Linked DNA regions of Bombyx mori. The protein of the gene in region 1 binds, or shares a complex with, the protein of each later gene. Links are inferred from orthologs where the notes say so. Each region holds a gene or a part of one and is shown in the gene's direction. Other genes may lie near its edges. The genes, in order: UDP-N-acetylglucosamine--peptide N-acetylglucosaminyltransferase 110 kDa subunit, KAT8 regulatory NSL complex subunit 2 and tab1.

What was found.
Region 2: UDP-N-acetylglucosamine--peptide N-acetylglucosaminyltransferase 110 kDa subunit (region 1) and KAT8 regulatory NSL complex subunit 2 share a complex: the UniProt entries of both Homo sapiens proteins name them as parts of the NSL complex. The link is inferred for Bombyx mori from reciprocal best matches to the Homo sapiens genes OGT and KANSL2.
Region 3: the proteins of UDP-N-acetylglucosamine--peptide N-acetylglucosaminyltransferase 110 kDa subunit (region 1) and tab1 are in contact, whole or in part, in a crystal structure (PDB 4AY6), measured with the Homo sapiens proteins. The link is inferred for Bombyx mori from reciprocal best matches to the Homo sapiens genes OGT and TAB1. Residues at the interface, in NP_858058.1 of Homo sapiens: Asp441, His506, His508, His509, Asn567, His568, Pro569, Gly641, Tyr642, Thr643, Lys644, Ala646, Gln849, Phe878, Pro904, Val905, Ala906, Pro907; in NP_006107.1 of Homo sapiens: Pro389, Val390, Val392, Pro393, Tyr394, Ser396, Ala397, Gln398, Ser399.

The regions. Positions count from the first base shown.
Region 1 is NC_085129.1:5,326,699-5,337,512, reverse strand, and holds part of UDP-N-acetylglucosamine--peptide N-acetylglucosaminyltransferase 110 kDa subunit, read left to right. Parts: intron 1-950; coding exon 951-1,134; intron 1,135-5,413; coding exon 5,414-5,482; intron 5,483-6,873; coding exon 6,874-7,070; intron 7,071-7,153; coding exon 7,154-8,795; intron 8,796-9,064; coding exon 9,065-9,356; intron 9,357-9,761; coding exon 9,762-9,942; intron 9,943-10,414; coding exon 10,415-10,519; intron 10,520-10,814. UniProt on the Homo sapiens protein: Catalyzes the transfer of a single N-acetylglucosamine from UDP-GlcNAc to a serine or threonine residue in cytoplasmic and nuclear proteins resulting in their modification with a beta-linked N-acetylglucosamine (O-GlcNAc).
Region 2 is NC_085108.1:5,586,366-5,597,179, forward strand, and holds the start of KAT8 regulatory NSL complex subunit 2, read left to right. Parts: upstream 1-226; 5' UTR 227-341; intron 342-771; 5' UTR 772-839; coding exon 840-903; intron 904-2,596; coding exon 2,597-2,772; intron 2,773-3,526; coding exon 3,527-3,735; intron 3,736-4,683; coding exon 4,684-4,797; intron 4,798-5,254; coding exon 5,255-5,355; intron 5,356-6,781; coding exon 6,782-6,941; intron 6,942-8,798; coding exon 8,799-8,962; intron 8,963-10,394; coding exon 10,395-10,540; intron 10,541-10,814. UniProt on the Homo sapiens protein: Non-catalytic component of the NSL histone acetyltransferase complex, a multiprotein complex that mediates histone H4 acetylation at 'Lys-5'- and 'Lys-8' (H4K5ac and H4K8ac) at transcription start sites and promotes transcription initiation.
Region 3 is NC_085132.1:1,620,235-1,631,573, reverse strand, and holds the start of tab1 (tak1), read left to right. Parts: upstream 1-5,928; 5' UTR 5,929-6,375; coding exon 6,376-6,512; intron 6,513-7,033; coding exon 7,034-7,165; intron 7,166-7,765; coding exon 7,766-7,871; intron 7,872-8,197; coding exon 8,198-8,309; intron 8,310-9,378; coding exon 9,379-9,522; intron 9,523-11,071; coding exon 11,072-11,228; intron 11,229-11,322; coding exon 11,323-11,339. Other genes in the region: transcription factor BTF3 homolog 4, read left to right, coding at 1,047-1,571. UniProt on the Homo sapiens protein: Key adapter protein that plays an essential role in JNK and NF-kappa-B activation and proinflammatory cytokines production in response to stimulation with TLRs and cytokines.

The DNA.
Region 1 (10,814 bases):
GCTTATTAAGGATACATACAATACATACATTTTTTGTTATAAGAAAGTTTACGGACAGTTTTCGCTAAAAATATTTAGTATTTTGAATACTTTTTTGTCAAAATAAAGTAAATTTGGCACAAACAGCACATTAAAAATTTGGAGCAACTACTTATTTAGGACAAATGTGGTGTATGACCTTGATTAATTAATTGCTTAAATCATTAACATTCACTGCAATAAATCTAATTAGTTGATTAACAAAAATAACTCATTTTCTATGTGGAAACATGTTTCAATTTTTACAATAATTATTAAAACTACTGGTACGGTTTAATCTCCTGTTTTCATAATCAAGACGTATAAGGCTGAGAAAATAATTCACTAATTCACAAATGAAAAATCTAAAACATTTTGTAATACTGTAAGGTACCTAGTACCTACTACCTAGTAATAATTTCTAGATCTTCTGTGTCAATGTTATTATAAATTAAAATTGTCTATTGTTTTAAAACTACTGAAAATTAGGAGATTTTTAAATGAACAATGTATTTGGGTTAAAATGGTGTCTTCTTTTTTTTTAAGCTACCTCATCATGCTTTTTAACTAACAAGTTTTTGTCATAAGTACATTCAAGAACATTCATATATTTTAAAACAGAATTGTTTATAAAATCAGACACCCGGCTCATAATCAATTCAAACTACAACACATGCTGAATAATGTTGAACTGTATAACTTAAATTTAATATTCAATAGTCTCAGGGTATTATTTTCTCAATCATTTGCACTCTTAGTAGAGAGGTCGTGATCATCATTTCGGGTTGTGGTATATCTAGTATTCCAATACCTAACATATTTAATAATCACACTGACTCCGATAATTAATCGAAACAGGATCCTATGGTGCATACACGAGGATCACTAGCCTGTTTGTAATGATCATAATTTGTCTTTAATTTTTCGTGCAGCAACTTGGGCAATGTTTACAAAGAACGCGGGCAGCTTCAGGAGGCGCTGGAGAACTATCGTCACGCTGTCCGTTTGAAGCCGGACTTCATCGATGGATACATCAACTTGGCTGCGGCTCTCGTTGCCGCCGGCGATATGGAGCAAGCTGTGCAGGCTTACGTTACCGCACTGCAGTATAACCCTGTGAGTATGTAAAAGTTTTTAAGGGATGATTCTAATCAGTATTATTTGTTTTCCATGTGGGCGGGCACATGCTGATATTAATTTTATTTCTTACTATCTGACCCGGCAGACTTCGTAGTGCCGCAATCAATAAATAAAAGACCTAAACTTTTGTATAAAATAAATTTAAAACAAACTAAAGTAATCCGACCGACGGGGGACACATCAAAGGGAAAATTACGACCATTTTCTTAATTATCTACCTTTTAAACCATCTCTGGACTTCCACAAATAATTCAAGACCAAAATTAGCCAAATCGGTCCAGCCGTTCTCGAGTTTTAGCGAGACTAACGAACAGCAATTCATTTTTATATATATTGATAACATGAGCTATACATAATGTCAAATGAATCATTTGTTATTTGTTTTCCTGATGGCTTGGAAAATTTCATACGATTTTTTTGTTAACATCGGTAATTATGTGGTTGCAGCTCATTGGATATCTCGTCATATCGATCGTCTACCATTGTGACATGAACTATTCAATTTCAAATAAGACAAAGTATTTTTGAATGAAATTAAATAAGTGAAACACACAACGCGTATTGTTTGCTTCGAAGTGAAAGGAGTATGCTCTAGTTTAGCTTAATCTAAGCATTTGTATTGTATTATGTATCCAGCAGGCAGTGGTAATTTTAAACCGTAATTCGTAAGATTCTAAAAAGGCGAGTAAGCCTTTTTGTAAATATAATTTAAATTTTATATTATTTTGGATATATTTACGTGTAGACCTTTAGTATTCGACAACTAGTATTCGTTGATTCATAGGAATAAGATACGAGCATTATTTAACTGTAGAATATAACGCGTATTGCACACTGATAAGAATAAATTAAAAACAATAATAAAATTGCAAAGGGTCAATAAGGGACAAGTAATTTTTCCTGAATATTCTTGTAAGACAACCACTTTATTCAAGAAAATGTAGACAGTTTATAAATGAAACGTTGATTAAAAGCTCAAGAAAAAAGTTTGCAGCGATGTATTAATTGACTTAACTACGTAGGAATATACATTCACATCCGCTGTTAAAAAGAAAACGATTGGTTGGAAATATACCTGAGTGTTGATCCCCAGTGAATCAGCTACCCCTGCAATGCATTCAATGCCTGCTACGTTACTATTATTACCATGTTTTTACGAAGCCGGTTTTTGAGAATAGATTTTGAACTCGATGGTACTTTTCAATTGACATATCCTCACCTGGCTTCTATTATAAATGGATAGTTTAAAAAACACGTTAAATTCGTACTAAATTTTCTTACTTCCTCACCCCAGTGCGAATGTCAATACTCACTCACTTTTAATGTCAATATAGTTCGTATCAACGTTCTTATGGAAATTAGAATATAACGTGACGTATATTCACAAGCGCTTGTTTGAGTAACATATTAGGATAATTACAAAAAAATGTTGATATGTTAACAACAAATTGTAATCTTCAATAAAAGCATTTAATAGGCGAGATTCTACTTTACTTTGATTTTATTTTACTTACTTAATTATATTGTATTGCCAAAACTTAATATTAAATGCAATATCAGTCTCTCATTGTTTTATGCACCAGAGTCAACGTACTAAAGTGAAAAAATAAAATATAAAATAATATGATTTTCTATGTTTAGTAATTCAAGGCGGTCGATGTAATTTCTGTTTTAATTGTATTTTACAACGGTCCCAAACTTCAAACGTCACCATAATTTTTTTTATCTTCCCAATTTGGCAGAATGGTCATGGCCTATCCTGTGTTCGGTTTTTTTTCCTACCTAAGCTGAGAGGGCTATGACAGCGTAGCCGAATGAGTGTGTTTGATGGTTAACGGAGCAAACGGATTTGAATGCTGCCATCTATCAACAAACATTAGATCGATTTGTTTTTTTTTCCTACCTTTACTGATAGCCTCGAGTGGCTATTTCAACTTCGGCCTAACGTGTAGGTGAGCTCACGTGGCTCAAATCGGAGTGTTGCTAACACTGGCCCTAGCAAGAGCAGTGCTTCGCAGAATCTACCACCGGATCGGAAACGCGACCCACTGAGAAGATTCGGCGAGAAACTCAGTGGGCTGTGTCTGTGGGTTAAATCGCTCGTCGAGCCCTTCGTCGCAAGCGACGGGTAAGATCGAAGGAAGTCTCATTTGTATTGTAATAACAGCTGTCGCGCCTTTTCTGACGAAAGTGAACACTCCTTCGGGGCGGAAACGGGCAGTATTGTATACCTCTCACCCTGAGTTCTAGTTCCAGTAAAAGTTATGTATTATTGAAATGAATACGAAGTCAGTACTTTATTTTAGGTTCTTAATTTTGTGACGTCATCATATCACCGAAAACTTTCGAGATGGCATGCATTCAAGTATTAAATCTTGGCAATTTTGTTTCTCCTAGACCAAAAAAGTTTTTTTATGTAAAGCTTTAATGATTAATTGTTATGATTGACGTAAATTATGAGGAAATGCATCGAAATAGCGTGTATTCATTTCGAATTAATAATTTGTCATTTGTCAATTTGTCTTTCTGTAAATACGCAAACGGCGACTTTACGCTTGTCAAAAAGAGATTAAGTAATGAGCTCGTGTAAAATACGTCTTATATAAACTGACGTGATCTTGTAACCTACACACGTACTATATATCTAACGCTTCGCTATACGATATATTTTAATCTTATTTGAACATACCTACACAGTAAAAAAATGATTTTATTGTAGAAAAAGCGTGGGGTGAATAAATAGAATTAATATTTTGATAATATCCTGAAAAGCACCTCACCCTTTTTTACAATAAAATAATGATTTCTTACACTATTTTTAATTCAAATTTACTTTCTATTTTTTAGTTAGATTTTCTAGAAAAGCGTATTTTGTTAGTTTTTTTTAAACTATTATTTATTTTTCATTTTTTACTTGAATTTAAATTTTTTCAAAATATTTTTTTTATTTTTTTTTAATATTGAATTTTCATCGCTCCTTAATAAGTATACCAAATTTCGAGTTAATGCGACGTTTTGAAGAGGGTCAAAATCATGTTCAAAGATTCCGTTACACACAAACATACATACATACATACGTCTGAAGCTAATAAAAGCGTATTAAAAACACTGAATTAAAACGTATGATTAAAATTATTTGAGCGAATTCGATTTAAAATCTTAAAATATTACGTTCACACGTCGATAAAGATAAGGCGATTGTGACCTTCACTGAATTATCATATACGGTGACATTAATTTCCTTGTTTCGCAAACGGCAATTTGTAATTTATTGTTTGTGTCATCGTATGCCTCGTAATATTCCACTGGATTCTTCCGTTAATCAAATAGAACTGTATAGCAAAGGGCCCATAGTAAATTGGGTTGACACATCTATCTATCTCTATATATAAAAATGAATTGCTGTTCGTTAGTCTCGCTAAAACTCGAGAACGGCTGGACCGATTTGGCTAATTTTGGTCTTGAATTATTTGTGGAAGTCCAGAGAAGGCTTAAAAGGTAGATAAATATGAAAATGCTCAGAATTGAATAAAAATAACAATTTTGTTTTTCCTTAGATGTGTCCCCCGTCCTTCCTTTTGTTTGTTTTAAGTTTATTTTATACAAAAGCTTGGGTCTTTTATTTATCAATTGAGGCACTACGAAGTCTGCCGGGTCAGCTAGTATCAAATAAAAATAATGCTTCAATCGTTGGACTTGGTTCTTTTTCTCTTTCGATTTTTTTGTCCTAGGTGAATAAGCATGCTCTCGGCTCAACTATTGTTAAACGTTTATTAGAGCCTACATTATTTTTGATAGAACAACAACAATACCAAGTCACCAGAATGATTTCGAAGGTTTCTAGTCATTACACATTTGACGGATTAATAATAAAAGAGATATCGATGTAGTCTTACGTAATAGGTTATCCAGTTTTAAATCAAAAGATACGGGTATATGATTTTGTAATTTTAGCATCCGTGCGTAGTTTTTGTTGTTTTTGTTATTGATAGGAGAATGAGCTTACGGTCCACACCTGGTGTTTATTGGTTACCGATAGTATATGAATGCCAACATTCATTTTGAGACATTAAAATTGAGCACATTAAAATCAGCTACTTTGTTAAGTAAGTTGTAAGTTGGATATTTGATTCCGAAATATCTGACAGTTTTATAATTAGTAATGAATATAACGCTTTAAAAGTTTTATAAACATACTAGACATATTGAAACGTATTTGTTTGTTTGATTTGGAGAAAGAATAATTTTGTTCCAGGATTTGTACTGCGTCAGAAGCGATTTGGGCAATTTGCTCAAAGCCCTCGGAAGACTAGACGAGGCAAAGGTAAATATAATTTTCTGCTTCACTGTTTGGTTCGCTCTAAAGTTAACAGGATTCTCTAGAACTTTCCTTTGTACGATATTAAATTAGCGCACTCTCGGCGAAGCGTAGTTTCTTCTTGCGTAAATCCTCTAGACATGGCAGTCGCGTAACGAAGTCCCCTTTGTGATGGTTCCAACAGTGTTTTCTCATCAAACGCCTTCACGAGTTTAAATTAAATTTTGTGTTTTATGAGCGACCTGTTCGAACCATTGCAGACCCGTTGAATGAGATGAAATCCTTATGAAGATTTAACTGAAAAATATCTCATACGATGCAGTCTTATAGAAGTCACAAAATATATTTGGCACGCCTTGTACAGATATTTTGTGATAGCATCTGCGTAAAATCATCAATCTTCTAGTCGACGAACGTTGCACGGTATTTAAGATTTGAAAAAAACTGAATGTCATGACCTTCGTGAATTTAATCTGATACTATCTATTGTAGTATAAAAATCCGTTCGACTAGAATATTGCGTAATCGGAGTTTGCGCTAATTGTAATTTTGTAATGTCGAACTTAAGTATAATTAATAAAGATCCTGTTGGCTTCATTGTTTTTATTTTATTTTAATGAAATGTGCTTTTATTATTTTACCATTTTCAAGGAGGATCAGAGAAGACAAGTAGCGTATCAGTAGTGATTTTATTTGTATGATTTGGTCATTCTCATCATGCCTGTCACAATACTCTGCTCGATGACAGCGCGAGTTCGTAATGATCCTATCCAATCATAAATATGTTTTGCGATAATCAGTTACATTGACAGAATCGGGTGAAAAAGTTTGACAAAGAAATCAACTAATTTCTATTATATTTTCACAAGGTGTTGTCTGGTAAGACAAGTGTAGGTGTGACCGGTGCTGTATGTAGCTGTGTAACGGTTGGTACGACTCTCGCTCTTCCGCCCCGATGACACCGTGACCACTGAAGGTAAAGTGGAAAAAGGTTTCAAAGAAATAATGTTACAACAGGTTATCGGATACGTTTTCATTTGATTATTGTCGTGTTCATCTTGTCCATCGGTTAGGAAGTGGAAGCGTTTGTCTTTTCGTTTTTTTTAACTGCTTTGGTTTTTCAGTGATTACAGACTTCATTTTTGTTGACGGTCGTTTGCATTTCCTACTACTGATGTGATGCTCTTGGCGTAGTGACTTGTTAGGATGCGATTTGGCGTAATTCTGGTTTTTATGTTGTACGTGAATGATGTTCGGTAATCTGAATTGAGTCGAACACCGGCATCGTTCAACGTTGTGTAGAGAAATGCTCTGGCGTAACGATATCTCGGTACTACATCACGCTAAAACACAAATCAAAGTTCAAAAGTTAAAGGTTATTTTTTTCGTGTGTTTAGGCTTGTTACTTGAAGGCAATCGAAACTAGACCCGATTTCGCGGTCGCCTGGAGCAACTTGGGTTGCGTTTTCAATGCGCAGAGTGAAATATGGTTGGCAATTCATCATTTCGAAAAAGCTGTCGCATTGGATCCCAATTTCTTAGACGCGTACATTAATTTAGGAAATGTACTAAAAGAAGCTAGAATTTTTGACAGGTACGTAACCATCATAAAATATGAAATATTTCGCTCTAATCTATTTTTGAATGTGTTTTAAATTAGTATCTCGTGATTATCAGGGCCGTCGCCGCATATTTGAGAGCCTTGAATTTATCTCCCAATAATGCCGTCGTGCACGGCAATTTGGCCTGCGTGTACTACGAACAAGGACTGATTGACTTGGCCATCGATACTTATCGACGTGCCATCGAATTACAACAGAACTTCCCGGACGCGTATTGCAATTTAGCTAATGCACTCAAAGAAAAGGGACAAGTGACTGATGCTGAAGAGTGTTATAATACCGCGTTACGTCTCTGTCCGTCTCATGCAGACTCCCTCAACAATCTGGCTAATATAAAACGGGAACAAGGCTACATCGAGGAGGCTACACGTTTATATTTAAAAGCATTAGAAGTGTTCCCGGAGTTTGCGGCGGCGCATAGTAATCTGGCTTCAGTGTTGCAACAACAAGGGAAACTAAACGAAGCCCTTATGCATTACAAGGAAGCTATACGTATTCAGCCGACCTTTGCCGATGCGTATAGCAACATGGGCAATACGCTGAAGGAAATGCAAGATGTAGCCGGTGCTCTGCAATGCTACACAAGGGCGATTCAAATTAATCCCGCATTTGCGGATGCTCATAGCAATTTGGCCAGCATCCACAAAGATTCTGGTAACATTCCTGAAGCTATACAGTCGTACAGAACAGCGCTTAAGCTTAAACCAGACTTCCCAGATGCGTATTGCAATTTAGCCCACTGTTTACAAATAGTGTGTGACTGGACGGATTATGAGGCTCGAATGAAAAAATTGGTCAGCATTGTCGCTGAGCAGCTGGAGAAAAACAGACTGCCATCAGTACATCCGCACCACTCCATGTTGTATCCGCTGACACATGACTTTAGGAAGGCCATCGCCGCCCGTCACGCGAACCTTTGCTTGGAGAAAGTGCAAGTGTTGCACAAAAACCCTTACAAGTTCCCTAGAGATTTACAAGGCCGCCTTCGTATCGGGTACGTAAGCAGCGATTTCGGTAACCATCCGACATCGCATTTGATGCAATCGGTACCTGGTTTGCATGACCGAACAAAAGTGGAAATATTCTGCTATGCCCTCAGTCCGGACGACGGAACAACGTTCCGATCGAAAATCGCCAGGGAAGCGGAGCATTTTATCGATCTATCTCAGATGCCTTGTAACGGCAAAGCAGCCGATAAAATATACGGAGACGGTATTCATATCTTGGTCAATATGAATGGATACACTAAAGGAGCGCGAAATGAAATTTTCGCTTTGAGACCAGCCCCGGTCCAGGTAATGTGGCTCGGGTACCCGGGAACTAGCGGGGCTAGTTACATGGACTATTTAGTTACTGATGCAGTGACGTCACCCGTGGAACTTGCCAGCCAATATAGCGAAAAACTAGCGTACATGCCACACACGTATTTTGTTGGCGATCACAAGCAAATGTTCCCACATTTACAAGAACGTCTGATTCTGAGCGACAAAGTTAAATCCCACAACAATTTGGGAAGTGTCGCGGACAATGTTGCTGTGATTAACGCGACCGATCTGTCGCCCCTTGTGGAAAATACTGACATTAAAGAAATAAAAGAGATCGTGCGAGCAGCCAGACCCGTTGAAATATCTTTGAAAGTAGCCGAATTGCCAACGACGACACCCATTGAAACTATGATTGCATCAGGACAAGTACAGGTAACTTTTTAATATTATCGAGTCTTTTAAATTAAAAGAAGTAAACCGGCAAAAGCAGACCTGATAAATTACGACGTTATTTTTTAATGTGGGGTTGTGCATGTCCATTCAATGCAATTGCTGTCTAACATAAAAATAAAAGTTGATAATTTCCGTTCGTAATTTCTGAGCAGATTTCCATTTTTTTAAATTGGCTTTGTTTCCATTTTTTTTATTATGGTTTGAAAAAAATTATGCAAATATGTAACTTTTGTTTCCACAATTTTCAGACATCCGTAAATGGCGTTATTCTTCAAAATGGCTTAGCTACTACGCAGACGAACAACAAGGCTGCGACGGGCGAGGAAGTACCACAATCTATAGTGATTACAACTCGACAACAATACGGCTTACCGGATGACGCCGTAGTGTACTGCAACTTCAACCAATTGTATAAGATTGACCCATTAACTCTACACATGTGGGTGTACATACTGAAACATGTACCTAACAGTGTATTATGGTTATTAAGATTCCCGGCCGTAGGAGAACCCAATTTACAATCCACTGCCAACCAACTTGGTGAGTATTCTATTCGTGATATAATTTGTGCAAACAGTCATACATTTTAGAACTATTACTTCTAAAACGAAGATGGTGAATATACTAAGTATTGCTATTATTGCCTCGAAAGATAGATTTTGTAAAGATTAATTTCGAACTGTTCTTCCAATCAGTAAATTAACTAGTATCAGCCTGCGATTGAACATCAATCAATTCGGAAAAATCATTTATACTGAAATGTTTATGTTTTAAAGACCCTAAACTTTTTGTAAAAATATCTGCTGGCATTCCAGCAGTTTCTAAATAATTAACTTTAACAAACTTGTTTGCAACTGCCTTCTCAGTTGCACTTATAGTAGTCCAATTAATTCAACTTTTAAGGTGTTTTTTATTTTAATCTTATTGCATATATTTTTACTAAAGGTCTTCCGCCGGGACGGATAATATTCTCAAATGTTGCTGCCAAAGAAGAGCACGTACGACGCGGACAGTTAGCCGATGTGTGTCTCGACACTCCACTTTGTAATGGACACACAACTAGTATGGACATCCTATGGACTGGCACACCGGTTGTGACCCTTCCTGGGGAGACTTTGGCGTCTCGGTGAGTTCTTTTTGGAAGAAACGATTTATCAGTTATGTGTTTTTGGATATGAAAATAAGCTTGTATTTGTTGCTGTACCATGTTGTGTGTAACAAACTATTTGTCAATCCATCAATTTGGAATTAACTGCCTTATAGATATTTATATAGTATAATTAAAACACAATACTATATGTTAATAATTAAAACACAATACTTTTTAATTTTAAAATCTCTCTGACTCTTCTATTATTTTTATATACTATTTATTATACTTTTGGTTTTTCACAATAAATAATGAGCCAATATATGACATGACTGTCAAAAGGGTTTAAAATGTTTCCTCAACAGCGTACAGTGCTTTGACTGTGTTCCCGACATTACTGATGTCCATGACTAATAATTGCTTGGAATTACCAAAAATGGAATAAAAAAGTCCTTATAAAATAAATTATGTATTTCTTTTGACCAAGATATAAATAATTAATTTACAGAGTGGCAGCTTCTCAATTAAATACTTTAGGATGTCCCGAGCTCATTGCCAGAACGAGACAAGAATACCAAGACATAGCTGTAAGACTGGGAACAGATAGAGAATAGTAAGTTGACATTAATTTAATTTATTAGTAATTACTTTACAGGGCAGACGATTTTACGGCCTATCTGGTATTAAGTGCTTTGTAATGCATATAATGACACTTGCCTCTTGAAGGATCCGTTATGATTGAGATTTCAGATTAGTAAGAAAATGATATTACTAAACTCTATCTTAGAGTTTGGCCAATGATACTAATATTTAAGGAAACCTGATAACAGTAGCAACTTAGGAAGGTCAGGATGACATACCCATTGTTTACTTAATGATAGGACCAAAAAATCCTTGAATTTATTGTT
Region 2 (10,814 bases), on another chromosome or scaffold:
CGCGAGAAAGCACGACGGATAGAAGTGCCCCGTCTAAGTGCGTGAGTGGGAAAGGGACAGCGCTAGCACAGCGGCAACCGGATAAAGACCACGTTAACATTTGAGTGATTGATAAATTAAAATCCTAACATTTTATCAGAAAACACTGTTTTCATTCACCATTAATGAACTAAAAAAATATTAAAATTAATGGAATAACAAAACAACAAGAAAACTACTTAAAAAAAATACATCACAACACGATATTCTGATTAGGAATTTCAAGCTGACGCCATTGTAAAACTTGGTAGTTAACGCAGTGAGGTCTCCGGTGACAGATTGATGATCTGCAAAAAACACAGGTACGTTTCACTTTATCACTATGTTTCTTTTAATAGAATAAGAATAGCTCTTTCTTTTGTACATATTTTTAAAACGCATTGCTAACTTTTCAATGAAAAAAATCAACTTCAAATTTACGGACCTAAAACTCTGTCGCACTGTGCAAATGGCCGACCCACAACTGTTTACAATTCACCTCACTATTAAATTCGAGTTAAAATGCCTGATGACTTAAACTATTATCGGTCATTTCATAATTAGTGAAATTATTTTATAACACGATTAGTTTTAGTCATTACTTTTTTCAAATTGTTGCAAACTAGTTTATTTTTATTAAGAATCACATCTGACCTAACTTTAGTGAACGAAGTTTCGCGCTACGTGGATAACTACGAACAAACAATCGTAATTAAAATATTCTAATTTAAGATGATTACGCAACTTTTACAGAGGTTTCATATGATTTTTAAAGAAAACATTAGAAAGTACGTATTACAGGCTGCTATTATAGCAAAAAAATGTTTCCATTCGGAAGAGAGTATGCAAACACCTTGAACGCTCATAATATCAAGATTTCTGAACGTAAGTAAAAAATAAAAAATCAAATGCGCTAATTTAAACAAACAAACCAATTCATTACTTAGTTCATTAAACATGTAGATTTATAAAAAAATATAAACATCATTTCATTAGAACACGAGAATTTTTTGTATAAAATAGTATATCGTAGTCAAGTCAGTAGTTGTATAGGCTGTCGGAGTTAATTTTTTTAATATCATTTCTTAGACTTACACTGCGATTACGTCATTAATAAAATTGTGACAATAAAATATTAAGCACCAATTTCACGGGATCCAAATTTTCATGTTTCGCAGGTACCCTCCTAAAAATCTAGATTATAAAAAAAAAACATTTTTGTACGAATTATCATCTAAATCTGTCCACTGCTATTTACGTGATTACGAATTTTTCCTTTGTAAATCAACATTATTGTAGGTTAAAAATATACTGGGCTCCTTCCGGTACCCGTTTCATTAACAATTAGGACGACTTGTTTATCAACAAAAAAAAATATGCAAACTTATGTAATAATTGTAACAAGACGTAACAAAAACAGTATTAATTTGGCGATACGTACATGCGGGATAGTACAAAAATTTAACAAACTCAGGGCCGTATTAAGTACGTATTTCATAGCATTAAGTATTGCATAATTTAATTTGCGTGATTAATGGTGGTAGGACCTCTTGTGAGTCCGCACGGGTAGGTACCACCACCTTGCCTATTTCTGCCGTGAAGCAGTAATGCGTTTCGGTTTGAAGGGTGGGGCAGCCGTTGTACTATACTGAGACCTTTGAAGTCATATCTCAAGGTGGGTAGCGGCATTTACGTTGTAGATGTATATGGGCTCCGGTAACCACTTAACACCAGATGGCGGTCCACCCGTCTAAACTATAAAAAAAAGAACTGCCGTCTGGTCATTTCAAGTTATTGATAAGTTCTTTTCGTTAAGATCAACGTATCATCGTATTATCAGCCTATAGCAGTCCATTGCTGGACTTTGGTATCTCGAATTGCACGCCATTGAGCACGATCCTCGGCTTATCTCATCCAGCTCTTGCCAGCCATCCTGCATAGATCGTCACTCCATGCAGCTTGGAGCATGGAGCTTGGCTCCAACGGTTATCGGTTCTCTAAAACTACGAGCAGTAAATAACCTCAGTAACGAAATAAAGAAGTAGGAATCAAACAAGATAGGCTTCTTCGGTTAAAAAAAAAATTCTAACCCCATGACAATTTTTTGGCGATATTAAGATAGTGGTATGCGGCGGCATTCATGTTGTAACGGCAGTAGTGGCCATAGAACAAAAGATATTTGACAGATGCCCGAATATCGCTAACAATAATTTTAAGGTAAGTTAGGACCGTCGGTCTACTGAGCAGCTACACCAGCTCGGTGGAAGATCCCCCTTTGTCGTTAACCCCCAAATGTCTATGGGCACTGACAAACCAGGTTGCACCAGGTGTACAGGTGAATTTACTCCCCCATCTGGAATAATAGCATTCTTTATCGATACGATACTTGTGAGACCTACAATGGGTCTTACCTTCGATAATTTCAATTGTTGAATTTATACATATTTTATGAACACGATTGCAAACTCAACCGTTGCTACATATTAATAGTTTATTATTACTAAGCGATTAAAATCTGATGGCATTATGTCACATGTACCGATCAAATTTTAACGTCATTTTTTATTTGAAATTTCAGTTTCCTCGTCCGTTATGACGTCACAACCTCGTAAATTAATTCACCTGCCCAAAGTCAGGATGCTCAGTAGTGGGGGACCAACAAAATCCGGTATCCGGATAACAAATGTGAGGACTATAAAGCCTCCAGACCCGGAACACGTGAAGAAACAGGAAGAGGAGAAACTGAGGGCTCAGGTATATAATAATAAATTATTTCACTATTCTAATCTTCGGTTTGAGCGCCGAAAGCTCACCTACACGCTAGGATGAAGCTGAGATAGCCTCTCAAGGCTATCAGTATAGGTAGGGAAAAAAAATAATATTCTAATCTACATTTTGACTCACGTCTGAGAACGTAGCTGCATATTCACACTAGAGATGAAACGGATATCCGGTAACTATCCGGTATCTGGCCTATCCGGCCATGTTTTCACTATCCGGCCGGATACCGGATAGTTACCGGATATCCGTTTCATCTCTAGTGTGAATATGCAGCTACGTTCTCAGACGTACATCAGTATCTGGCCGGATTTCGGATGGTAAAATTAAAAAAAATCTCAATGTTATACAAAAGGCAAATAATACCACAATAGGCTATGGACAACTTTTATTTTTATAATCGCACGTCAAAAGTGATTGTTTTATCAATTAATTTGTTTAATACCTACTCAAAATAACAAGTGGTAAATTGTGGTGAATGAATACCAAATCGTGTCGTACCGAGTCGTCAGGATCTCCGCTTACGTGGGCCAACACCCGAACGCGCACGAATATTTCCGAAAGGGCCGAGTATCCGGTAACCGAATATCCGGCGCTCCGGCCTCGCAGCTTGCCGAATATTCGGTATCCGGCCAAACCACTATCCGTTTCATCTCTAATTCACACACCCAGTACACCGATTCAATACTCCTCTGATGATGTGGCTAATGAAAAAAAAAAACATTTTCAGGTCCAAAAGGAGATCGCCTCGCGGTGTCGCTCGTGCGCGTACAAGGGCTACGAATGCTTGCAGCCCGTGCTGTCTGGTCGGCAGTACTGCTACAGACATGTGCTCCGCGACCCGACCGCCCCCTACAGGCAGTGCGTGCACAACTATGCCAACGGGGAGAGGTGTACGTTGCCGGCACCCATGGACACTAATGATCCCCGGGACCCTGGGTTAGCTTTTAGATTTTTTTGTCTATCTCGCGACCCCCTAGTCAGGATATTGAAGGTCGGATATCCTCAATGTTAACTTTTTAAATTATAATTAGTCACCTATGTTTTTTTTTGTTATTGCTTTAATGGATGGACGAGCGCATAGCCCACCTGGTGTTAAGTGGTTACCGAAGCCCATAGACATCTATAACGTAAAAGTCGCCACCTACCTTGAGATTTGAGTTCTAAGATCTCAAGTATAGTTACAACGGTTACCCTACCCTTCAAACCGAAACGCATTACTGCTTCACGGCAAAAACAGGCGGGGTGGTGGTACCTACCCGTGCGGACTCACAAGAGGTCCTACCATCAGTGAACCGTGTTCCATAAACACGAGTTATATCTCATATTATAAAATTGCTCATAGTTATTATGCCTGTGATGATGAATATAATCAAATAAGATAAAACGCTAGTCAATAAACAAACAAATATATTTGAAAACTAGCGGCCCGCTCAGGCTCCGCTCGGATCTTTCACAAAAATACAATATTTGAGGTTGTTTTATTTTTTAAAATAAAAGAACATTTATTGCGGCATAACTATAATAGTTTGACATATGCTGTCGCGACACTTTTTATACTTACTAATGTGTTCTACAAAGTCGTAGTACATTATTTTATTCTATCATCAATAGTTTTCGCAGGGCACTCGATGTAAAGAATATTTTAGGTATTTTTTTTACACCTTGGGTTACATTATTGGAGTTTTAGTAAGGATCCCTAATTTTTTTCAAAAAAGATTATAGCCTATATCACTCGGGAGTAGCGTAGCTTCCAAACAGTGAAAGAATTTTTCAAATCGGTTCAGTGGTTTTTCGGAGCCTATTCAATACAAACAAACAAATCTTTCCTCTTTATAATATTAGTATAGATATAATTCTTGATGGTGAATTCCATGACGTTTCCAGGTTGTGTTTCGAGCACGCCCGCGCCGCCCTCGCCCTCCGCCAGCGCCAGGCCGCGCCCCCTCCGCCCCTCCCCACCACCGAGACGCTGCTCCACCAGCTCAGCCACTACATACAGTTAGTACACATCTGTAGTACGGACTAAGTAAATGACTGTCAGATAACCCAAGGAAAATTGCCGGTCATGTTGTCTATGGCTACAATAAGTGACACAGCCAAGTGGAATTCTGGAGGAATCTGTAGCTGTTCTGTTCTAAAAACCAATCAGGTTATAGTGTGTGGGGCATTGCAAAGTGGAGCAAAACGCAATGCTCTCCAAACACCAATCACCATACTCATTGACAAGTTTGCATATTTTATCATCATAATTATTTACTGACTCCAGTCATATTGCAGATAATTTATTGAATGATATACATAATGCTCACAAATGTATTAAAAGCTTGTATCAGCTGATTACACAAAAATTATGTTCGAGCGATACAATTTGTTCCCATTACCATTGCCCCATTGTTGCCAAACAAAATAACGAATACTTCTATATTAATATGAATGTTTTAAAATAAATTTCCAGAGCAGAGAGGCCCCGCACGACGTCATGTGCGTCTTCAGTGTCCGTTGTAAGCGACCCATCGGAACCAGAACAGTCTTCTCCGACAGTACTAGATCCATTCAGTGAGTAAATTATTTTAAAATATTATTTGATTCCTATGTAATTTGGTTATATAGTATGGTTTTATTATTTTGGCCCAATATCCTAACCAGGACCACTGCGAAGTAAATATTTTTTTAAACTATAATTACTTATCCTCTAAATTCAGTTAAATAAGTCCTCGATCCATCTGCTATTATGTCGTCATTAGAGTTCTGGCTTTCGCACCCTTGAATGCGTTTTCCATTATAAAGCTCTTATTACACGGTAGCAGTACTGGAACAATGGTACCAACCATACAGACTTATTATATTGATGCCTTCAGCTCTAACACTAGGAGCAGGCTTAGGGACCCCGGTAACCGTACTCGTCGAACTCGATAAAGACGTCGACGTGCAACCTTACCTAACCATCAGCTCGCTGAGTTTCTCGCCGGATCTTCTCAGCGGCTCGCGATTCCGATCCGGTAGTAGATTCATGCGCGAAGCAGCTGCTCTTGAGTTGTCAGGACTCCTTCGGAGGCGCTCGGGCAGCTGTTAGCAAATCCCATCCCTCCTGGCTGAGCCTTTGCTCGTCCACCTGTCCTGGTGAAACTGGAAAGGCCTCCAGGCCACTTTCAATCATAAAAAAAAACTTGTTATAATAAGCCGCTTATGTACAAGTATAAGAACTGTTAAAACTCATTTAAATATAATGTGACTGTATGTTATTTATCTTAGATAAGGTGTTATAAGGTCTCACGCACTGTTCATGGTCCGCCATGTTAAAAAAGTCTATACCTCGAATATATTCCTTGGGTTTCTCGAGTCCTGGATGTACTTTAATAATGCCCATATTCATTTCTACTCATCCGTGCCCACGAAAACTGGAAAGTAACACAAAACTGAAATTGACCAGATTAAACCAGACAATTGATTGTACATGTCTTGATGGTCAATAATAATGAACTAGAAGTCCCGCAGTAGTCGAAATTCGACTATAATTAATTGGAATTGTAAGTTTGTACACTATTATGATTGTATTTTATACTTCTATAATCACAAATTTAGCCAAGACTACACTATAAAAATATTAACAAAGACAAACAATATTTAATCTATTCTCAATTTGACAACAGACGTCACGAACAAAAGTTTGACAATAAATAGTATGCATGCGCGTGTGCGTCAAATACATGGTATGTACTGTGTGTGTATTGTTTTCTTTATTGATTTAATGTATCTTTTATGCATTTTTTTAAAAAAATTATAGCATTGTGCACTTCTCTATATTCTCTATAAGTGTGGAAAATTTCATACTCCTCCGTCCGCGCAATTTTCGTAAAAAGGGATACAAAGTTTTTGCTTCGCGTATTAATATATAGATAATACTTTTAACTACATTGCAAGTGTAGATAACCCACAAACTAGTTTCCTTCTGGTTTTCATTAATTAGTTAATTTAATTACAGAACAAATAGACGCGAGGTCGGTGAATGCATCGTACTCAGCGTCCATACAAGAGTACTGCAGTGCCTCTGACAGTGACGGTGACAGTGTCAAGCTGGGGGAAAACGGGGAATGTAGCTCGGGGGACGATGAACTCGCACCTGTTGAAGAGCTACCATTATGGTAAGTGATCGTTTTAAGAATGGCAGCAATGCATTTCGGTTTGAAAGGCGGGTTGTACTGAGATCTTGGAACTTATATCTGAAGGTGGGTGGCGCATTTACTTTGTAGATGACTATGGGCTCCGGTAACCACTTAACACCAGGTGGGCTGTGAGCTCGTCCAATCATATAAGCAATAACAAAAAATAAAAAAAAATTACTGATGTAAGGGAATCGATTTTAAAACTCAAGCCTGGTTCTTGACACAAAATAGAAAAATAAATTTACTTTTAATTATATTTTTTAAGGGATTTTATGACCTGTTAACTAAGACTTTTCGGTCATGTCTTATTTTAATTTATATTCTTATATTTATGAAAAATAATAAAATGGAGTGAAATGAAATGAAGATGATTAATGTGAGACATTAATCAACTGGGATGAAATTAAATGTAGTGAGATGAGATGATATGAGGTGAAACATAATCTCAGTAAAATGGTGGTCATTTATTGAGATTTTCTCAGTGGACTTTTTGGAGGATCCCGAGAAGTTACGTTCAGCGGCTTTGTTTCATTTTCCCACATTTGTGCACTTTCACAGACACTAAATAGTTAATAAACCACCGTCATTACACATTTAAACCCGAAGAAACACTAAATAGACAAAGTAAAACAAATCACACAACTTCACTCCTCGCGTTCTCGCCAAAAAGTCACTTATATTGAAAGTTTTAATCAGCTGATACATGAGGTCAATGCCCTTACAGTTAGTTACTTGGGCCTTTTTTTTAGATTATAGATTAACTGGTTTTGCGAGGCTTGACGACAAATGGAAGATCTTTCACCGAGCGGGTGATATTGTTCGGTAGACCGACGGTCCGAATGTTGTTGTTCGAAACTTGTATATATGCGCTTTATCTTGAAAATGTCGTAAGCGAGATTCAGGCATCTGTCAATTATCTTGCGTTGTATGATGGCTACCCGCCACATGGTTATTATTTTTATTGACTTCAATGGTAGATTTTTTTTCCTACCATAGCTGATAGTCTTGAGAGGCTATTTCAGCGTAACCTTAACTCTCTAGCTCACGGGGCTCAAACCTGACGACGTTGCTAACACGAACCCTAGCAAGAGCCGTGCTTTGCAGAATCTACCACCGGATCGGAAACGCGACCCACTGAGAAGATCCGGCGAGAAACTCAGTGAGCTGTGTCTGAGGGTTCATTTACTCGTCGAGCCCTTCGTCGCAAGTGACTATATATGAGTCGTCTATTATCAAAGGTGGCAATCTGTGCATTTGGACAAAAAAATGTTATTGATATGTCAATACAGATTGATTTGAATATAATCGTCTCCTTCAAAGAATACGGTTCAAAACCTGCATTAAATAAAGGTTAATAGTTAACCTGTTATTTATCTAAGATGTCGTTCCGAAGAGTTTTGTGACTGCCAATGGAATACAAAGTCAATAATTCGTTTTTCTGATTTACCAATAATTATCCAAAAGTCAGATTGCCGGCTTTGATAATAGTCAACTCATATATACATATGCTGCTTAGTGTATCAGTATGCAATTACAAAATTGATATCTGCTTTAATCTATACATCTATACATATAAATAAAATTGATATGAATATGAATTTTGACAATTTTTGTCTGTCTGTCTGTTTGTTCCGGCTAATCTCTGGAACGGCTGGACCGATTTTGACGGGACTTTCACTGACAGGTAGCCGATGATATAAGGAGTAACTTGGCTACTTTTTTTAGACTAGCTTCGCCCCGCGGCGTCACCCGCGGTACTACAATAACCGCGGGTAACGTCGCGGGACTCAGCTATCAATAATAAAATTTAATGTTTCGATATATAAAAAATTTCAGGCGTGCCGGTGTGTACACCGCCGAAGAAACTGTAAGTGAAGCGAGAAATGCACTAAAACTATTGCAAATGGCGTACGTCAATCAAATGGGGCGTCTCCGGGTGCTGCTACAGATGTCCCGGGCTAAATACGTGAAGGCTCTCAAGGCTGAGAAGGAACACTACTGTAAGCTATACACTATATTTTTTCTATTGGGGCCAATCACACGTCAACTCATGTCCTACTCTTGCATACCTTCCCTCTCTCTCTCTCTGGCACAGGCCGGCCAAGTCACAGGAATCAACCTAAATGCCACCACCTTCCTTCATACAAGATGTAATTACATACATGATGAAATTGGCCAAATCGGTCCAGCCGTTCTCGAGTTCTAGCGAGACTAACGAACAGCAATTCATTTTTACTAGAGGTCCCGCAGTAGTCGAAATTCGACTATACTTAAATTAATTTTATACTTCTATAATCACAAATTTCGCCAAGACTACACTATAAAAAATATTAACAAAGACAAACAATATTTAATCTGAATTTGACAACAAATGACAAAAGTTTGACAATAAATAGTATGCATGCGTGTGTGCGTCAAATACATGGTATGTAGTGTGTGTAATGTTTTCTTTATTGATTTAATGTATCTTTTACGCATTATTTTAAAAAAATATTAGCATTGTGCACTTCTTCTCTATGTTCTCTATAAGTGTGGAAAATTTCATACTCCTCCGTCCGCGCAAATTTCGTAAAAAAGGATACAAAGTTTTTGCTTCACGTATTAATATATAGATATATATAGATTCTACACACATTATACACTTGATCTACACTGATTTACGAGGTTTTTATAGAATATATAATTCGACTGTATCAGTTGACGAGTTATGTGCAACTGTCCTGACTTCATACTGGCTTGATACATTGCAACCTTACACAATACTACACATGCATGATAAGTTAACTTCAGCCGGCACACTTACTACATACTAGTGGTCCCGCAGTAGTCGAAATTCGACTATTATTCATTGAAATTATAAGTTGGAACATTATTATGGTTCTATTGTCAAAGATATATTCTATAATCACAGATTTCGCCAAGACTACACTGTAGACAAATAATATTAAAGATAAACAGTATTAACTTATTTTCAATTTGACCACAGACTTTAAGCATTAACTAAAGTGTGTGTTAAATACATGGTAGTATGTGTAAAGTTTTTTTTATTGACTTAATATATTATTAATGCATAATAATAATAAAAAAATTGCATCCTTCTCTATATCACTACACATAGTATAAAACAAAGTCGCTTTCTCTGTCCCTATATCCCTATGTATGCTTAAATCTTTAAAACTACGCAACAGATTTTGATGCGGTTTTTTAAATAGATATAATGATTGAATAGGAAGGTTTATATGTATAATAGCATCCATTAAATAGTGGAGAAATCAATAATAAATTACAGTTTCCGAAGCGAAGCGAGGGCGGGTCGCTAGTTCTCTATAAGTGTCAGAAATTTCATACTCCTCCGTCCGCGCAAATTTCGTAAAAAAGGATACAAAGTTTTTGCTTCACCTATTAATGTGTAGATGATATGTGTATTTCCAGGCAGTATAAACACGCAAACCCGCAACGGTCCGCCCACGGCTCGCGAGAGGAGGCAACTGCGGAAACTGAAGGCCTTTGCTTCATATCACAAGAAACACGGTGTGGATGCTGTGCTCGGCAGGAAGCTACATCATAAGAGAGCCAAAGTTAGTACTCTGCATTATTGTAGACACTCCTGTACAAGAAAGGTGATTAAGTGACTTACCAGGTACAACAGTTCACACCCCCTGACTGCCGGGCTGAAGGTTCTGATTTTTGTTTTCAAATCGGGCAAACATTTGTGTAATTAAGAAGTTTATTTACTCTGTGTCTCGGTGCTTATTATCTATATACGTGCATTTAAACATATATATCTGGTTCCTATACTACAGGTAATCTTAGTTAGGGATCAGATTGCCTTGTGCGATCGGGTCGAGGGAT
Region 3 (11,339 bases), on another chromosome or scaffold:
GATTGTCTTGATTTAGAAGAAAAATCTCTAGGTACCTAATTAATTTGGCAAGTGGCTTTCATTAGTTAAATAAAACTATTAACAAACGCGCCTGATGAAATAAAATGATTAGTTTAAAAAAATATTTTTTGCCTTTATCATGTAATCAGGTAATGTGAGAACAGCTTGCGTCACGACGACAGCCCTGATAGTCATGGTCATGGTATAGTTGAGACTTTATGTCTCAAGATGAATGGTAACCATCACGATGTGGGCTGCGTTAACAGATTGCAATTGATAGAACGTGAGTCCGAATGCCGTTTCGCGCACCCTAGAGAAATAAATAAATAACCAAGCATTCTTAAAATCAAATCTTTAACAACTTTATGGATTTTTCAACTCAACTTATCTACTTTTTCAAGTCTTACGTTATGTTAATGTGTTATGAACAACAAACTCAAGTAAATCCTAGAAATTACCTACCTACTGACATCTAGTTGCTAAAATTAAAATTTATATTTCTTCGGTTTTTAACGCCATCTGTGACACTGTCAGTGTACACTAGTAGTCAAATACAGTAATATTTTTAGCTATAGAACATTCCTAAAAATAATTCTAGATGGCGCTCAACTAGGCGTGGATCTGGCAACACTATTTGTTCCATTATACGTAAATATGTTGACGCCTCTGAAAGAAACCTACTAAATTAAATTTCTAAGGTATTTATAATTTATTATTTAAAAATATCAACTCAAAATATCCATATTGACTGGCTTACAAAATAGCTTAAAATCAAATTCACAAATAATTGTATTTTCTCAGCAATGCATTCACACTAATGTGAAATGAAACTTATCAGTTGTAGCCATATGCAAAAATTGCAAGTCAGAAATAACTTCTCGTCAAAATCCACCATTTTCCCTTTGTAACTAACCGGTGTTCAAAACACGTGCATACGATCAAGTTACATGGAAAACTCGTACTGTCGCGTCTTGTAATAACTAAATAGCGTCATAAAAAAGTGCCCCGTTTTAACGTTAACACAATTTACGCTTAAAAACAGCAGAATGAACAGCGAAAAATTAAAGAAACTCCAGTCGCAAGTACGCATCGGCGGTAAGGGCACACCGAGACGCAAGAAGAAGGTTGTTCACGTTACTGCGGCCACAGATGACAAAAAACTGCAGTCATCGCTCAAAAAGTTGTCAGTGAACACAATTCCTGGCATCGAAGAGGTAAATATGATCAAAGAGGACGGTACTGTGATACACTTTAACAACCCGAAGGCACAAGCGTCGCTGGCCGCGAACACGTTCGCGATTACCGGACACGGGGAGAATAAGCAGACCACAGAGATGCTCCCGGGTATCCTCAGCCAGCTCGGACCCGACGGCTTGAACCGACTGAAAAGGATTGCGTCGAGTGTTGCCGCGCCTAAGCCACTCGAGGAAGACGACGAGGTACCTAACCTCGTCGGCAACTTTGACGAAGCCTCAAAACAAGAGGCCAAGGAGGTTGTAACTAACGAGAAGGAGAAGGAGAAAGAAAAGAAACCCGAATCAGAAACCAAAGCTGACAAGAAAACTGATTAAATTAACCACAAGTATAGTTTTAATTTGCTCACCTACATGTCAAGGGTTTCCGAAGCCATCTGTGTCTCAAAAGAATGATTTTCACTTTTATTTCATTACGTTCCTGGGTGTATGAACTTCATCATGTATTGCATTTGTTTGGAAAGAGTGATGTGATGTACGGGGACACTAAATTTTTAATTCTAAGTGATGGCTCTGGAAACCGTGCAGCCCCATTCAAATGCAATTGTTTTTGATAGATCATCAACCTTTTCAGCATTGTGGAATATTGATTCTCAAATAGGCATTAGATAAGTGTTATAAACCTACTGTTGAGAAATTAATACAAAATGTTTTAAAATTGACATTAAACAGTTAAGGGTATGAATGTATTAAGATAAAGGAGGCATTTTTTGAAAATGTAAAGTATTTTCTAGAAAAAATTGTTAGTCATGTCCAATTTTGCTTACAAGTTTTTTATCAGTTGAAAAAACATAGGTTTATAAAATTAGTCACAGGTAGCTCAAGATGATGAGCTAAAATTATTGTAAAAAAATATATAAAAAATAGCAAAAAAATGTAAATGATTGAAGATTTAAGGTTATCTAAACAATAAAACTTTGGTCGGATGTTTGAGTTTTATTTGATTATAAATTGTTTATGATGGTATTTAATAGCAATTTTAAATTATTTTGGCCTTTAAAAGTAATCAAATAGCTCTTTTGTCTATGTTTTTCAACATCGGCACTGTCAGTGCCCAGCCAAGCCACAATATCCTTGCACTCTACCCGATCTGAAAATATAAACTGCTTAATCAATGACTCGTGTTAATTTTAATTATTTTATTTTATTTTTTTAAAGTTTAGATGAGTGGACGAGCTCACAGGCCACCTGGTGTTAAGTGGTTACTGGAACCCATAGACATCTACAACGTAAATGCGCTACACATCTTGAGATATAGTTCTAAGGTCTCAGTATAGTCACAACGGCTGTCCCACCCTTCAAACCGAAACGCATTACTGCTTCACGGCAGAAATAGGCGGGGCGGTGATACCTACCCGTGCGGACTCACAAGAGGTTTTACCACCAGTAAATAAAATTGGAATGGATTGTAATGTTTAATTACATGTCTGAAGGTAGATTACAGAAATCAAATTTTAGTTTATGAATCTATTATTAAATGAATTATTTTGCCTGAGAGTGCTTTCACAGAGCCACTTTCTTTAAACCTGTATTCTAAAATATTTTCTAAACTACCTTATTTACTAATTATTAAATGGCCTATAAAGTTTAAATCTAGTATATGTTTGTTTCGAAGGACAAACCTGCATTTAAAATGGTGTAATTATACTCATTACAATTGATGCTGTTTCTTTTATACTCAACATCACGCAGCACGCCACCGGAGCTGACTTAAAGGAGGTATATTACCTACAACCACTGATCCACGTTCCCAGACATAGTTTCTGCTACATAGGTAGGTACAGTGAATGCGGTATTCATTTCAGCGGTGATAGATTCATGAGCACTATCTTGTTAAAAAATTGTATTGCTTAGAGACAAATACGCACTCAACGAATGTTCACGATTGATTTCCACGGTGAAGGGATAACATCGTGTTATAAAAATAAAAAACGCAAAATTATAATTTGCGTAATTACTGATGGTAAGACCTCTAATGAGTCCGCACGGGTAGGTACCACCACTCTGTCTATTTTTGCCGTGAAGCAGTAATGCGTTTCGTTTTGAATGGTGGGGCAGCCGTCGTAACTATACTTGAGACCTTAGAACTCATAACTCAAGGTGGGTGGCGCATTTACGTTGTACTTGTCTATGGGCTCCAGTAACCACGGACCGGGTGGGCTGTGACCTCGTCCACCCATCTAAGCGATAAAAAAGAGACGACACATAAATTTATAAAATTTAACGTGGGAGAAAATGAGATGGGAAGCATTATATAATGGTTCTTATATTCGTGGTTCTCTTGGAACTTACACTACTTAGTACCTAATATTCGTACATAAAACATTCTGAATAAATCTATGTAAATCAACACGAATAAAATGTAACATAATTTTCAAACTTTGTATCACTTTGATCATTATAACTAAAACCTATAATTATTATTATCCTCTTCCCAAAATTTAACATTCGTCATCTTGAAGCCAACATTTTTGAAGGTTTCACTTCTACCACGTGTGAATTGCACACGCTTTTTTTGTCAACCATTGCTAATTTGAGAACGAACGATTCAATTCTTTATTGTAATCGTGTAAAGGCTAAATTTCTTTATACATATTCATGACAATAGTAGCATGACCTTATAAATTAAACGTGTCTATTTCGCAATAAAAAACCGCGAGTTTCGACATTAAAATAGTTTAGTAGGCATAGGTTTATTTAAGCAATAGAAAAACGCCTACTGATTGAGTAACAAGATGACTTCATCTTTACTACTCAAAGTACTTAGGTACCTACCTACCGAGCTTACTGAATCTCCAACATTATTATGAGGCACTATTTCTGTGAACTCAGAAAAAACTGAATTATCTTTCACTTTCGTTGCATCTTTTTTAAGGTTTCTGTTCTTTTTTGTATAGAATAGTATAGAATAGGTACTTTTATATTTTACTTTTGCGGTCCTTTGGAGTCGAAGTATAAATATGTTATTATTATGATAGAAAGATTTAAACCCCTCTGTGCAATTCATTAGGAAAAATATATACTCCTTAACATTTATATTACAAATTACAATTTATAAATCTTTAGTGTGAATAATTAGGCATCAAATAAATTGTACGTAATAATAAGTAAGTTATGTAGGTATATAAAGAGTAATGTTTCAATATTTAATGAATTTATTTGATTTTTGCGGTTGCCTATGAGTGGGTGGCCTGATTGTGTTGTTGGTTAGTATTCATTTTAATCATCCACGTCGTATCGATAAAAATATGTGAACAGAAAATATTTTTGAAATTATGCAGGCCTATTTCCGAGGGACATAAGAAAGAACTGCTAAATCATTTTTGGTTCCGAAGTAATATTCGTAGGACTGATTTTTAAGACGAAAACAATAATGAGATTTCGACAGGAATCCTGCTATAATATAAGTATTTTTTTTATTGATAGGATAGGTAGATAAGCTCACGGCCCGCCTCGTGATAAGAAGTCACCAGTTTGCTTAGTGCGAGTTTTTTAACGTTCTCGACAGCGTAAAAGTGAACTCAATTCTGTATGCAGTTGGAACAGTGCCCCTAGCGGCAAACGTAGGCAAACGATCCCATTCTATACAAATATGAGCTAACTTTTACGCTATCGAGAACGTTATAAAACTCGCACTAAGCACACAGAGCCGGGCGGAGCTCTTAACAAGTTTCAACTTTAACAGTACGACGGCCGAGCCTCCTATGAGGTATCCGCGGCTATGGAGCACGCGGGGTATATGAGAATTGATGGTCTGCAGATGTTGGAGGCAGGCTGCGGGCTCAAGGATATATCTAGGACTCTACTACACCAAACGACTCCCCTTGCACTCTCACACCCGACGTCCGATTTCCGCCCGGGGTCAGAACTCGGTCAAACTAGGGGGACTCTCGCGGTCAATACTACGACCAGGACCTCGCTGGGTCAGATCCGGCCTGCAGGAACGCGATACACCGCCGACACGGGCAGGGTTATGCGAACATACGTCCTAGAAATTACGTAAATCATAATTTTTACGGATTTTTAGTTTTATTGCACGATGTTATTCCGTCACCGTGGAACCATCTTACACCGTCTTACATGGACATTTCGTGTGATACGATAAGATATTTTATTAGAAAAATTGGTACCTGCCTGTGGGATTCGAACACCGGTCTCATCGCTCTGTCTTGATGATTAATTACTAACTATGAAATCATCGTGGCTTAAAAATTAAATGAAGGCATCATCAACACGAAAAAAATACTATGCATTATCAGCCTTAATGGATAAAAAATTAGCTGACGTTCAGAGTTAATGGTCTCATTACAGTCCCTTAATATTTACTTTGTCCTTTCTTATTATCACTAACCAAGGCGTGGGACTTGCCTTCAAATACGGTTTGACATGCCAGTTTTCTATTAGTACTGTACTATCTCAAATGTACCGTATGTTTGATGAGTAAAAAAAAACAAAAACTGGGCTGGACGTTAGTTAAGTGAACAAACGAACACTAAGTGGTAAAATATAGAAAAAAGATTTTCTTACATCTAATTTCTATGTTGTGGCAAAAATAAGAATTTAAGTTATAGTCAAACGATAGTTAACGACTATTTTTATTAAATTTCAATAGTGTTAGGAAAACTTCTGAACTCTAGAATTGTACTTTAAATTTTTGAACGAAAAAAATAAGTGTCATTAAAATAAAAATAGAAACTGCACAGAAGGGGCGACAGAAGGGTTGTTGAGTTTACGAACCTTCAGTTTTTGGGAATCGATTCGATTCCTGTCATTCGATTCAGTTTTACTTTTGCGAAGAAAATATAATAAATATTTTGTAAATATTAGCTGAACCTTTATGTCTAATATGTTAGGTACTTTCATTTATTTAACTTTGCCGTACAACTAGTGTAAAAATGAAAGTAAAATGATAAAGTGACAATATTAAGAACCGATTCAAAATTTAGCATTCTCTAAAACTAAAAAATCGTTTTGATGATTTAAGATGATCAAGTCTCAACTTGGTCTTAGCTCTATATTAAGAAATTTTGGTCATTTTTCAACAAAAGGTCTGTTTCATGAAATAAAAAATAAAAGTAATATTTGAGCTGTGAATTGAGGTGTTAGTGGTAAAAATAGCAATATGATAGCAAGACCGTGGACTGACGATCTTCCGAAGTGCAGGAATACGTGTGTAGCTTCGTATTTTTCAAAGCTCGGAGGACACTCAAATGCTAACGATGATTATTTATGTTTTTTCTGTCAAACAGAGGATAACTTGTAAGTTTAATTTATCATAACTTTTGTATATCTAACCATGTCACAATAGTATAGGGTTAAAAAAATACATTAAATTTGTCTCTGTCTTCATTGTGTCCAAGATAGAATTCATGACGGCAAATGTAACTATAGGTGAAGAAAAAACCCGGTCATTTAAATTTAGAAATACGTAGTTAAATTCCGAAGTTCATCAATTATTATTAAAGTTTTGTAAATAAACAAGAGCTTTTAATATCAACTTTCTCAAGTCAAAATGTTGCAAGTCCTCAACCCTGTTTTGTATTGCTGTTTCTGCAAAAAGCATCTTGCATCTGCATAGTGAATAAATGATATTACAAATACTCTTAAAAGATTTAGCAGTTGATATTATCCTTAATTTCTTTATTTAAATAAATGAAGAGCATTAAAAATAAGTTTGCATTTAAGTTTACCTTAATATAGAAAAAAAATATAAATTACACCAAAATTCGCTTCTTAATACAAATACAAACTTATAACTAAACTAAATGTTATTCTCATAGTTGTTTATATGGAGTATTTGAGCCACACAATGGTCTTGAAGCGGCCAGGCTTATCATGCAAAGAATGGCAGCTGAAATATTATTTCCACCACCCTCAGCCAACACAGATGAAGAGATACGAGACAGACTTAGGTAAAAACTATATATATATTTATCATAAATAAATAAGGGTGTATAAGAGAGATACTATTGTTGCTTTGGATTATGAAATATACTTTATACAAATAGGATAAAATATCAATTACTAGCTGACCCCGCAGACTTCGTAGTGCCTCAATCGATAAATAAAAGACCTAAAGTTTTGTATAAAATAAACTTAAAACAAACAAAAGGAATCTGTTCAACAGGGGAGGGGACACATCAAAGGAAAAACAAAATTGTCATTTTTATTTAATTCCGAGCATTTTCATGATATATATCTTCTATTTAAACCTTCTCTGGACTTCCACCAATAATTCAAGACCAAAATTAGCCAAATCGGTCAGCAATGAACAGCATTTTAGGTGGGTGGGCCATTTACCTTATGAATGTCCATGGGCCCCAGTAACCACTTAAGACCAGGTGGGCTGTGAGCTCATCCACCCATCTAAGCAATAAAAAAAAACAGCAATTCATTTTTATATATATATGGAAGATTTTGCAAATAAAATACACGCTGAGCAAATAGAGCGTAGATGGTATAAAAGATGGAACATGGGTCGAGATATTAATATTAATTCGTTTTATATATAGGAATGCCTTTGTGTCAGTTGAGAAAGCATACATTGAAAACTATGATGGAATGATAGCAGAGAGAACTAGTTTGCAATATCAGCTGCAGACTTCTAGTGAGACTCAGGTACTCATTTTGATTTCTTCTTTGTTTTGTATATACAAAAGATTAGAATGTACTGGCAGTTTCGATTATTCTTTTATATAACAACATTTAAGGTATATTAATCATAAAATACAAGGTATACTTTTACTTCATTTTCACACTGCCATTGTTCAAATGTACGGTAATATTAAAAAAATATAAAAATATTTAGGACAAAAGTCGACATATATAAATACAATTATTATCGTTATTAATAACCTTAAATTAAAATATTATATGCTAGAATGTGGATGTTTATGTTTTAGTGTCAGAGGATTTTTATCCAAGTGCTTTAATTTAAATTTCAGAATCGCCAAATTATATTGTCTCGCTTAAAAGAAATAGACCAGCATCTGTCCGGAGGTGCTACTGTGGTCGTAGCTTTAGTGCACAAAAATAAACTATTTGTTGCTAATGTTGGTGAGTGTTTTCTTATTAAATTCAGTAGTAATATTGTTATGTGGCTCCGAGATTCTATAAAATCATGTGAACCATACTGACTGTTGTAACTATACTGAGGACCTTAGAACTTATATCTGAATGTGGGTGGTGCATTTGCGTTGTAGATTTCTATGGGCTCCAGTAACCACTTACCACCAGGTGGGCTATGTATCCCACTGAGACATGAGTTGGGAGTCTTGTTGTATTACCAACCAAGGATGAATAAATGCACAGATTATTACCACTATCTATTACTTCTATCTATTATTCTAGACTATTGCTATCTTCTCTCATAAAAAATTATTAGCAAATATTAAATTCCATAATCAAACCATTTACTACCTCACAAGGACGCTCTTACTATCTTATACCTTTAAACGAGCAATTCTTGTATATTAATATATATGTATATAATCTGAATCTCGGAAACGGCTCCAACAATTTTCATAAAATTTAGTATACAGGGGATTTCGGGGGCGATAAATCGATCCAGCTACGATTTATTTTCAGAAAATGTTGTTTTGTTCGTGTTTTCAATAATCAACTTTAATTTATGACTCTTCTCGACATCTATTGGCGAATAATAATACTATTACTATTATAATACTGCTTTAAAGACACAACAAGATGGCGTTATAAAAAAAAAAGGCCAAGCAAAGCTCGGTCATCATCTACTTAAACTTGTAACATATGCAAAATAGTGTTGCATACTTTGCTTCGCCCTAAATAGTTTGTTTTGTATCATATTGTTCAGAATGATTCAAACTCTTTACGGGTCCTATCTCTAGTGTGCTCTTATATAATATGTCACTTAGAATAGCTAAAGCAGTCGACCCTCTAACATTATAAATACATCTAATTTTTTCTATTCATCTACACACCTTACTAGTTGATATTATTCAGATACAATACAATAAACGGGCAGTTATTTGCAAATAGATGATCGTAATTTTATCCATTTTGGCACGGGGCTGGAAGGGATCTTATCTTACAAGAACCATTGTAGTTACTAACACAAAAAAAAAAATTGAACAATTTAATTTTATAGGTGAAAGTAGAGCTCTGCTATGTCGTACGGATGATAACTCGGTATTACGGGTCGTGCAGCTGACCGTTGACCACAGTCTCAACAACGAAGACGAGCTGCTCAGACTGTCTCAGCTAGGCTTAGACGTTAATAAACTGAGGAATGGTGAGTTTTTTTTTTCTCAAATACCTTATTTTAGGTCATTTGTTGTCTAGGCAACTTGAACCTCCACCCATTTTATACAATATACCGTGATCCCCCCTATAACACGGTATATTGGTTCCGCGTTATAGGAATCACGTTGTAGGTGAATTCCCGTATAACGCGCTTGTATGGTATGACCTTATATAACGCGTTATGTACAAAATTAAATCCAATATAACCAATGTTTTTATAATGCAAAACTAAGGAACACATATTAAATAAATAAATTTAATTTAATTTTATAACAACACTATTAACACAATGTGCAAAAGTACACGAAATTATTTATGAATTGTACGAATCATTATAAATCTCACAGTACATAAATATAACATTTAAACTCCCCGCGTTATATGGGGGAATACCCGTGTTAAACGAGATACTGAAATCGCGTAATATGAAAACGCGTTATAAGACCACCGTGTTGTAAAGGGGAATTACTGTATACAATTTTTTATGTACATGTTTTTTATGTTATCAGTTGTAGTGGTTATTGAACTAAAGGTCTTACTGTTTACTTGGGAATTAGATTGCTTACTAAGAGGTCCGTGGACATCACCACTTGCAGAACACTACCGGTCTTGAGACAGGCAGTGTAGGTTCTAAATGTATTGTATAACGACTGTGTCGCACTTCAAACCCGAACCCATGAATGATTATAGTCGCTTTCAGACTACGCTATAATATAATAGCATATAGTATAGGAATAGAAAGAGATAGAGCGAGAGTGAATTCGTCTTTTTTTTCTACCTAAGCTGATAGCCTTGAGAGGCTATTTCAGCGCGACCTTAGCTAGTAGGTGAGCTCACGGTGCTCAAACCGAAGTGACGCCCAATGATGATCGCCCTAAACACGTCATTTCGAATCCTCCTCGAATTAACCCTCTCGTCGAACCCGTCACTTGCGACGAAGGGCTCGATGAGCGAATTAACCCACAGACACAGCCCACTGAGTTTTTCGCCGAATCTCCTCAGTGGGTCGCGTTTCAGATCCGGTGGTAGATTCTACGCAGCACTGCTCTTGCTAGGGTCAGTCTTAGCAACACTCCAGTTTGAGCCCCGTGAGCTCACCTCAGTTTGAGCCCCGTGAGCTCACCTACTAGTTAAGGTTACGCTGATATAGCCTCTCAAGGCTATCAGCTTAGGTAAGGAAAAAGAAAAAAATGAGAGCAATCTGATTTAAGGATGAAAAATGAAGAAAACCACAATGTTTTTTTTATTTTTATTGATTAGATGTGTGGACGAGCTCACAGCGCACTTGGTGTTTAGTGGTTACTGGAGCCCATAGACATCCAGAACGTAAATGCGCCACACACCTTGAGATATAAGTTCTAAGGTCTCAAGTATAGTTACAACGGCTGCCCCACCCTTCAAACCGAAACGCATTACTGCTTCACGGCAGAAATAGGCAGGGTGGTGGTACCCATCCGCGCGGACTCACAAGAGGTCCTACCATCAGTAAGTTTATTGCATAAAGGGTGTTATTAAAGTGATTATGTACGTTTCTTCAGCGCAATACCTCGGCAACCAAACCGGGACCAGATGTCTGGGGAATTATTTAGTCAAGGGCCTGTACAAAGCGTTTCCCAGCATCAGCCCGGCCTCGTCCGAGCCCGTGGTGGCCTCCCCGGAGATACACGGACCCATCGTCCTGGACGACAGCTGTAGGTTAGTACGAAAATATATTCAATATTGCAGGTTAGTACGAAAATATTATTCAGTAATGTATGAAATTAATTTAAAAAAAAAAAAAACATTTCAGATTTCTGATCCTAGTAA